2 linked regions of the Macaca mulatta genome follow. The main gene of each other region encodes a partner of the protein of the gene in region 2 in a complex. Links are inferred from orthologs where the notes say so. Each region holds a gene or a part of one and is shown on either strand. Other genes may lie near its edges.

What was found. The genes of interacting proteins can lie anywhere in the genome.
Region 1: PHF20 (region 2) and KANSL2 share a complex: the UniProt entries of both Homo sapiens proteins name them as parts of the NSL complex. The link is inferred for Macaca mulatta from reciprocal best matches to the Homo sapiens genes PHF20 and KANSL2.

Annotation. Positions count from the first base shown.
Region 1 is NC_133416.1:55,839,321-55,843,566, reverse strand, and holds the start of KANSL2 (KAT8 regulatory NSL complex subunit 2), read left to right. Parts: upstream 1-1,415; 5' UTR 1,416-1,421; coding exon 1,422-1,882; intron 1,883-3,447; coding exon 3,448-3,626; intron 3,627-4,121; coding exon 4,122-4,236; intron 4,237-4,246. UniProt on the Homo sapiens protein: Non-catalytic component of the NSL histone acetyltransferase complex, a multiprotein complex that mediates histone H4 acetylation at 'Lys-5'- and 'Lys-8' (H4K5ac and H4K8ac) at transcription start sites and promotes transcription initiation.
Region 2 is NC_133415.1:88,598,473-88,602,482, forward strand, and holds the start of PHF20 (PHD finger protein 20), read left to right. Parts: upstream 1-1,196; 5' UTR 1,197-1,261; intron 1,262-4,010. UniProt on the Homo sapiens protein: Methyllysine-binding protein, component of the MOF histone acetyltransferase protein complex.

The DNA.
Region 1 (4,246 bases), on a different chromosome or scaffold from region 2:
GTGATCCTGGCCGGGCGCGGTGGCTCACGCCTGTAATTCCAGCACTTTGGGAGGCCGAGGCGGGCGGATCACCTGAGGTCGGGAGTTCGAGACCAGCCTGACCAACATGGAGAAACCCCGTCTCTACTAAAAAATACAAAATTAGCCGGACGTGGTGGCACATGCCTATAATCCCAGCCACTAGGGAGGCTGAGGCAGGAGAATCGCTTGAACCTGGGAGGCGGAGGTTGCAGTGAGCCGAGATTGTGCCATTGCACTCCAGCCTGGGCAAAAAGAGTGAAACTCCATCTCAAAAACAAAACAAAAAACAAAAAACAAAAACAGTGATCCTCCAGCCTCTGTCTATGTCTGATTTAAAAAAAAAAATTTTATTTTTTTCGAGACGGAGTTTCGCTCTTGTTGCCCACGCTGGAGTGCAATGGCGCGATCTCGGCTCACCGCAATCTCCGCCTCCCGGATTCAAGCGATTCTCCTGCCTCAGCCTCCCGAGTAGCTGGGATTACAGGCATGCACCACCACGCCCTGCTAATTTCGTAGTTTTAGTAGAGACGGGGTTTCTCCATGTTGGTCAGGCTGGTCTCGAGCTCCCGACCTCCGGTGATCCGCCCGCCTCAGCCTCCCAAAGTGCTGGGATTACAGGCGTGAGCCACCGCGCCCGGCTTGTCTGATTTTATGCTAGCTGTGTACAGTGGTGAGGGAACAGCAGCCTAGGACCACAGACTGAGGGTTCAAAAGTAGCCGGAAAACGAGCCACGCTGCAAGTTGGAAAAATATGACTAGCTGGCAACCCGCCCCACAGCCCGCTCTCCGCCCCCTTCCCCAGCTCACTCTCCTCGGGGCGGAGTTGCTGACAGTCATAGCCACCCCAACCGCGCATTTTCTCAGCGCTCCGCCCTTCCAGACACGATAGGTAGTGGGCCTCGGCCAATGGCAACACCCCGTCATAGGCGCGGTAGCCAATCAGTAGCCAGGAGTCCGGAAAGGAGCGAGGCCAATCTAGGAGCCGCGGCCGCCACCAGAGTAGGGCTAGCGGCGCGGCAGAGCGCGGCGGAGCGCGGCGCAGCGCCTGAGGTAAGATGGCGGCGTTCCTTGCTCTAAGCTCTTGCAGTTGGGCTGCTATTTCGCCTTTTTTGTCAACTCAGAGCTGCTGTTTCGCCTCAAAGCAGTGTCAGAGTCAGTCTTCTTCCTACAGGCTTCAAGGAGCCAGGATCTCTGGTGACCGGAGTAGGACAAAATGGCGCTCGCATGGACTTCCGAGGCCGGGCCCAGTCGTGTGCTCTGAGGCAGGCCGGGACAAAGGCGGTGTGCAGGGAGGCAGCGTGGCCGTCGCGTGGGCCTGGCGTTGTCGCTTCCCTTCATGCTGCAGCTGTGCGAGTCCTGAAGATACATTCAGCGTGGTGGGGTTCGGGGTGGGGCCGGGCATGGAGGGACAAGCTAAAGAGAGGGAAAGCCACAAATGCCTGTGGAGACCTGGGGAGGGCGGCGGGCAGTTAGGGAGCGTACCTTACGGGGCCGACTTCTGCCTCTCTTTTGGAAACTGCCCGCGGCATCTGTCCAGATACGGTGGAGCAGGAATTTTCGGGAAGGGTAAAGGCTTTCTGATTTTTATTTTGACCCCGCAGGTTTTGGTTATGAACAGGATTCGGATTCACGTCCTGCCAACCAATCGGGGGAGGATCACTCCAGTGCCCAGGTCTCAGGAACCTCTGTCTTGTGCATTCACTCATCGTCCATGCTCTCAGCCTCGTCTGGAGGGGCAGGAGTTTTGCATTAAGCATATCCTTGAAGACAAGAATGCACCCTTCAAGCAGTGTAGTTATATATCGACGAAGAATGGAAAAAGATGTCCCAGTGCTGCCCCAAAGCCAGAGAAGAAAGATGGGTATGTATGTATAGATATATATGTCGTTTGTCTTAAAGCGAGGGGGTGTGTGATATGATGTGGGCTTCAGCATAGCTGCCGCGTTTGAGATCACGTCCTTGTAAATTTGGGGTTATGGTTGTATCCTTGGAAAATTGAAAAAACGGTGAAGACTGGAAGGACCCTTGAATTGGATTACTTAGTTCACCTCTTTGGTTCTTTTCCCTTATCTGTAGTAAAATAAAGGCATATTCTAAATTACTTTTTTTTTTTTTTTTTTTAAGAGAGATGGAGTCTTGCTGTTTTAACCAGGCTGGTCTCAAACTCCTGGCCTCAAGGTGTCCTCCCATCTCGGTCTCCCAGAGTGCTGGGATTACAGGCGTGAACCACCGTGCCCGACCCTAAAATTAATCTTTTTTTCTTTCTTTTTTTTTTTTTTTTTTTTTTGAGACAGAGTCTCCCTTTATTCCCCAGGCTGGAGTGCGGTGGTGATCTCGGCTCACTGCAACCTCCGCCTCCCAGGTTCAAGCGATTCTCCTGCCTCCCAAGTAGCTGGGACTTAAGGCGTGCGCCACCACGCCTGGCTAATTTTTGTACTTTTTAGTAGAGACGGGTTTTCACCATGTTGGCCAGGCTGATTTTGAACTCCTGACCTCAGGTGATCCATCCGCTTCGGCCCTCCAGAGTGTTGGGATTACTGGCGTGAGCCAGGGCACCCAGCCCCTAAAATTATTCTTAATGGAGGGATGTGTGGCTCTATTTGGCTGTCCATGAATTTTGTTAAATAACATGCAAAGTTGTATATGTGTGAATTCTTCTGTAAGAGGGTTCATAGTTTTCATCATGTATGCAAAGGTATCTATGCAAAAACATAACCTGACTAGATAATTTTGTACATATCTTGTAGTTTTAAAATTGTGTCCCTGGCTGGTCGCAGTGGCTCATGCCTGTAGTCCCAGTACTTTGGGAGGCCACAGCAGGAGGATCACTTGAGGCCAGGAGTTGGAGACCAACCCGAGCAATATAGTGAGACCACGTCTCTACAAAAGATTAAAAAATTCGCTGGGCATAATGTCTTGGGCATGTAGTCCCAGCTTCTTGGGTGTATCAAGAGATGGGAGGATCACTTGAGCCTGGGAGTTCCAGACCAGACTTGGCAACATAGACTTTGTTTCTACAAAAAACTAAAAAAAATTTGCCGGTACAGTGGTGCATGCCTATAGTTCTAGCTATTTTGAAGCTGAGGCAGGAGGATCACTTGAACCAAGCAGTTTAAGGCTACAGTGAGCTATGATTGCATGACTGCACTTTAGTCTGGGCAACAGAGCAAGACCCAATCCCTTGCCTCAGCCTCCTAAAGTGCTGGGATTACAGGGGTGAACCGCTTCATCCGGCCTGTTACTTTCCTTTAATAAAAAGTCAATGAGTTGACCTTGGGCCAGTTAAATTCCTCTGACTTGCATTTTTAGAAATGAATGTAATAATCATTTTAATTCCCTGAAAATGATTTAAAGATTAGGGACTATGAAAATTATTGAATGCTTTCAAGAAGGGACTTATAAAATATTAATGTTTTGTCTCTTTAGGGTGTCCTTCTGTGCTGAACATGTCCGTAGGAATGCCCTGGCACTTCATGCTCAAATGAAGAAGACCAACCCAGGGCCTATGGGTGAAACACTCCTGTGCCAGCTCAGCTCATATGCTAAGACAGAGCTGGGGTCTCAGACTCCAGAAAGTAGTCGCAGTGAAGCCAGCCGAATACTAGGTAAGGATCTTCTCTCCTGGAATGAAAAAGGAGGAAGAAAGTTAAGGGGGAACTGTTTTGGGTTAGCACAATGCCTTGAACTATTTGGCAATATTGTTAATTCATCAGGAATTTGTTGAGAATTCCGGGATTGCTTTGTTGTTTACCAATTCTTTTGAATTTGAAGTAGTGTTTGCCTAGGTTTACTCTCCTGAGTTGGTGACCATTTCTTTCATTGCTTTTTTAATGCTCAGCAGCTTTGTTACGTAATTTCAGGAAACAATAATTTTAAGTTGATTTTTCTGTTTAAGAGGGCATGGTGTACTCATTTGTGTTGTAAGTAATCATACTGGGTTGTATTTTGTTAAAGCGTTTTTATTTCCCAGTGCCTTTGTACAAAGTTTTTTTTTTTTTTTTTTTTAATTTCAAGGTTTGGGTTGATAAGTAATCTAGTTTTGTGTGGTGGAGTTACAGAGGTGGGAAGTCTTAATGGCTGCTCTCCCTTCCTTGCCTCAGATGAAGACAGCTGGAGTGATGGGGAGCAGGAACCCATTACTGTGGATCAGACATGGAGAGGTGACCCTGACAGTGAAGCTGATAGCATAGACAGTGATCAAGAAGATCCCTTAAAGTAAGTTGTA
Region 2 (4,010 bases):
TGCTTGAGCCCAGGAATTCAAGACCAGCCTGGGCAACATGGTGATACTGCATCTCTACAAAAAAATGCAAAAATTAGCCAGGCTTGGTGGTGCACACCTGTGGTCCCAGCTATCAGGGAGACTGAGGTGGGAGAATTGCTTGGGCCTAGGAGGTGGAGGTTATGATGAGCCAAGACTGAGCCACTGCACTCCAGCCTGGGTGACACACTGAGACCGTGTCTAAAAAAAAAAAAAATTCGCCAGGCATGGTGGCATGGGCCGGCAGTCCCAGCTACTCAGAAGGTTGAGCTGGGGCCACAAGTGCGCACGTTCACGCCTGGCTAATTGTTGTATTTCTTGGAGAGAGGTGGGGGGGGGTCTGGCTATGTTGCTCAGGCTGGACTTGAACTCGTGAGCTCAAGTGATCTACCCATCTCAGCCTCTCAAAGTGTTGGAATTACAGGCGTGAGCCACTGCTCCTGGCCTCATATTCTTTCGGGATGGCTTCAACTCCGACCTTCGTCCCCAGGCAAAATATAGCTCCTTATCCTTAGCAGCAATTGGAAACCTTTCTAGGTGTTAATGATAAAGTGGGGGAGAAAAAGAGTGCAAAGGCTCTGAGGTGAGAAGAACCTGGATTGTTGGCGGAGTTGAAGGACGCTGAGAATGTGGGGGAGCTGGATGTGTGAGGACAAGAAAGCGGCAGGTCAGGTCCAGACTTTGAAGAGCCTGGTAGATACTCTAGGTGAAGAGTTAGATCTTAATTAGGAGTAGGGAGGGAAACGGGCTTTGAGCAGGGGATGGCGTTTTGAAAAGACCTCTCTGCCTGTGTACGAAGAATGGATTAGAACGGCAAAGAGTAATAGGGTGGAGACCACCGTCATCTTGGAGAGATGGTGGTCGCTTCGATGGAGAAGTGGGAAGCTTTGAGACACATGTAGGTGGCAAAATTAACGGGTGATGGATAGCGTCCATTCCCCGGCTTCCGAGATCTCAGTGATTACGAGTGAGTAGGGGCTTCGTGTTTCTGATAGGGCGCGGACCTGTTTCCCGCGCGTCAGGGCAGTGGGCGTGGCCTGCGCAGGCGGTTGCCACGGTGATCGGGCGGACAGGGCAGGGGGCGGGGCCGCTGGGACCTTACGTCACTCGGTGGTGGCGATGATGCGTCTGTGTGGGGGGCGGGGGATACGCTGGGCGCGTCCCGGGGGTCACGTGGTGTAGAGCACGCAGAGTCCTTCTGTCGGTTGGTCCTGGAGCGGCGCAGCCGGAGTGGGGCCGTGAGGTGAGCTCGCGGCGAGGCTCGGCGAGGCGAAGCCGGCTGGCCGGGGCCGGGTCGGGCCGGGCCCGCGCTGCGCGCGCGCCGTGCGGACGGGGACGGCGACGGACGCCACGGCTGCTCCGGTCCCCTGCCCGGCCCCGCTCCCCGCCTGGCCCCGCTCGCCCAGCCTGGAGGGAGGCCCTGGGACTGCTGCTGAGAGCGTGGCGGGCGTGCGAGCGGTGCCCAATCCCCGGGGCTACCCTCAAGAGTGACGGCGGCTGCCGCCAATCAGCGCCGCCCGAGGGGGCTGGGCCGTGGGGTGCGGGCCCGGGGCGCGGAGCGGGCCGTGTTGGGGGTGCGGGTGAGCGCTAGGGACCGAGCCTGAGCTGTGTGGGCCCCTAGAGCCTCATCAGCAGCCTCTGCTGTTGCCCTGTGCTTTGGGGATACGTTTTTTTAAAATTGGCTTTTTTATGCTATTCCGGGGAGCACATTCCTTTCTCAAGACCCCAAATATGGGAGTGTCCCTTTTCTCTATAGTTTTGAAAACTGGGCGGCACACCCCCTTTCTTAAGCTCTAGCTCTGGAATTTTATCTAAATTTCTAAAGCCCCCCGCGAATTGAAGGTGTGCCCTCTAACCTCAGCCCCCAAAGTGGAAGCACACTCCTTTTTTCGGGCCTCCAATCTGATTCTGCGTTTCCGTTCCAATTTAGAGGTTCACCCTGTTATCGGGTCTTCAGATCTGGGGTCCATTAGCCAAAGTTTTGGGATACTTTCTTGTATCCCCACCACTCCAAAGAAGAATCCCCCTTTTCCAGGTCCCAAATCTGACAGCATGCCTTCAGGAATTTCTTACATTTAGGGGCCACTTCCTTTCCTCAGCCCTTCAAATCTGAGGTTGGGCCGAAAACGATGTCCAAATTCTGAAGTTTATGAGTACTTATTTCCAGTTTCACAAATAAGGGAATTCACTGCCTTCTCCCGAGACTGTATTCTTGGGGTTACACACTTTTCACGTGTTCCCCAAATCAAACTACCTTATTTCCTGAGGGAGACTCATTTTCATATCTGGGAGTATATTTATTTCTTGTGCCCCTCAAATGTACGAGGTGAACCCCTTTTAGTTCTACAACTCTCAGAGTGCAGCCACTTTCCAGATGCTTCTTAAATTTGGGGGGCACACCTTTTTCTGAGTCCTCTCATTTCCAGGTGGCGAATGGTCTGTGGTTTTGAGCATGGCTTCCTACCCTTTTTAGCTTTTCTGTCATCCAAGACATTTTCATTCCTCAGTTTCCTTCCATTTTTGGAGCCACATTCCCCTTGAGGTGCTCTCCCAGTCTGGTCAGCGTACCCATTTCCTCTTCCCTCCTCTGGCGAGTGCGTATCTTTGTTCAGCACGGCACTTTTCTCTCTGCTCCTGCGGCCTTTTTTTCAGAGCACACTTTCCAGAGTCACGCCTCCTGAATTCTCCTCTCCCTCCAGGGAAGGATTCCTCTCCTAAAGGGCTACCTGCACATTGTTTTTCATAGGCCTGTCTTTTATCTTTCCGCTAACCGGATCTCTTCTCTTTTGGCTTGCCCAATCCCCAAACATTTTTCTGGTTTCTGTCTTTCTCCGGAACTGTTCTGTTTATGTAGTGGCTATACAGATTTTCCTTGTGCTGGAGGTGGCCTCAAGTCTAGGAGTGCCTCAGCCCCCAGGGCTGGATTCAAAGTGGAAACCATTTCTTTGGTTAATCACAGGACTCTGAATCCTCCTGGTGGTTTACTTCATAGAAGACCTAAGATTCTGTTTGGGTGCATACTGTTTTCTCCTTTGCTTTTATCTCCTTGTGCTGGAAAACAAAAACAAACAAAACTCTCAGATTTCTCCAGCACTGCTTCTAACCTATAAGCTTCTTCCGTACATTGGCCTTATTACTATCTTTTATGAAGAAAATATGTCATTTGGAGGAATTCCTTGGATACTCTTTTTGTTCTTGTCCCTAGGGTGTCGGTGGGGAAATTGATATTTTTCTCTCCCAGTCATCCTCTTGTCAGTCTTCACCCCCAATCCTGACTTTAAAATCTGCAAATATCTGGGACCTCCTGTCTCTTAAGAGCCTCAATAGTTCTTTCTTTTGTGTTTCCCTCTGCCTTTACAGATCTTATTCAGGGCTTCTCAGCCTGAACCCCCAACCAGATTAATTTCTCCACAGCTGGAATTCCAAGTGCTTGGGGATAATGATACCTCTGACCTTTCTTCCTTTTGGGAAGTACTTGAGTGTGCAACTGCATGAGGCCTCAGCAGGAGAGAGATTTTTAGGTCCAAGAAGCTATACCAGTAGGACAAGGCAGGAAAATACTACACTTTCAGGATCAAGCCCCTCTGACTCTCATTTGGAAACTGGATGTTTGCTAAGCACGTGCTTCTTTTTTTTTTTTTTTTTTTTGAGACGGAGTCTGGCTCTGTCACCCAGGCTGGAGTGCAGTGGCGCGATCTCGGCTCACTGCAAGCTCCGCCTCCCGGGTTTACGCCATTCTCCTGCCTCAGCCTCCCGAGTAGCTGGGACTACAGGCGCCCGCCACCTTGCCCGGCTAGTTTTTTGTATTTTTTAGTAGAGACGGGGTTTCACCGTGTTAGCCAGGATGGTCTCGATCTCCTGACCTCGTGATCCGCCCGTCTCGGCCTCCCAAAGTGCTGGGATTACAGGCTTGAGCCACCGCGCCCGGCCAGCACCTGCTTCTTAAGGATGCCGAGGGATTTAATCATATTCCCAGAAACCTGGAGAGATTA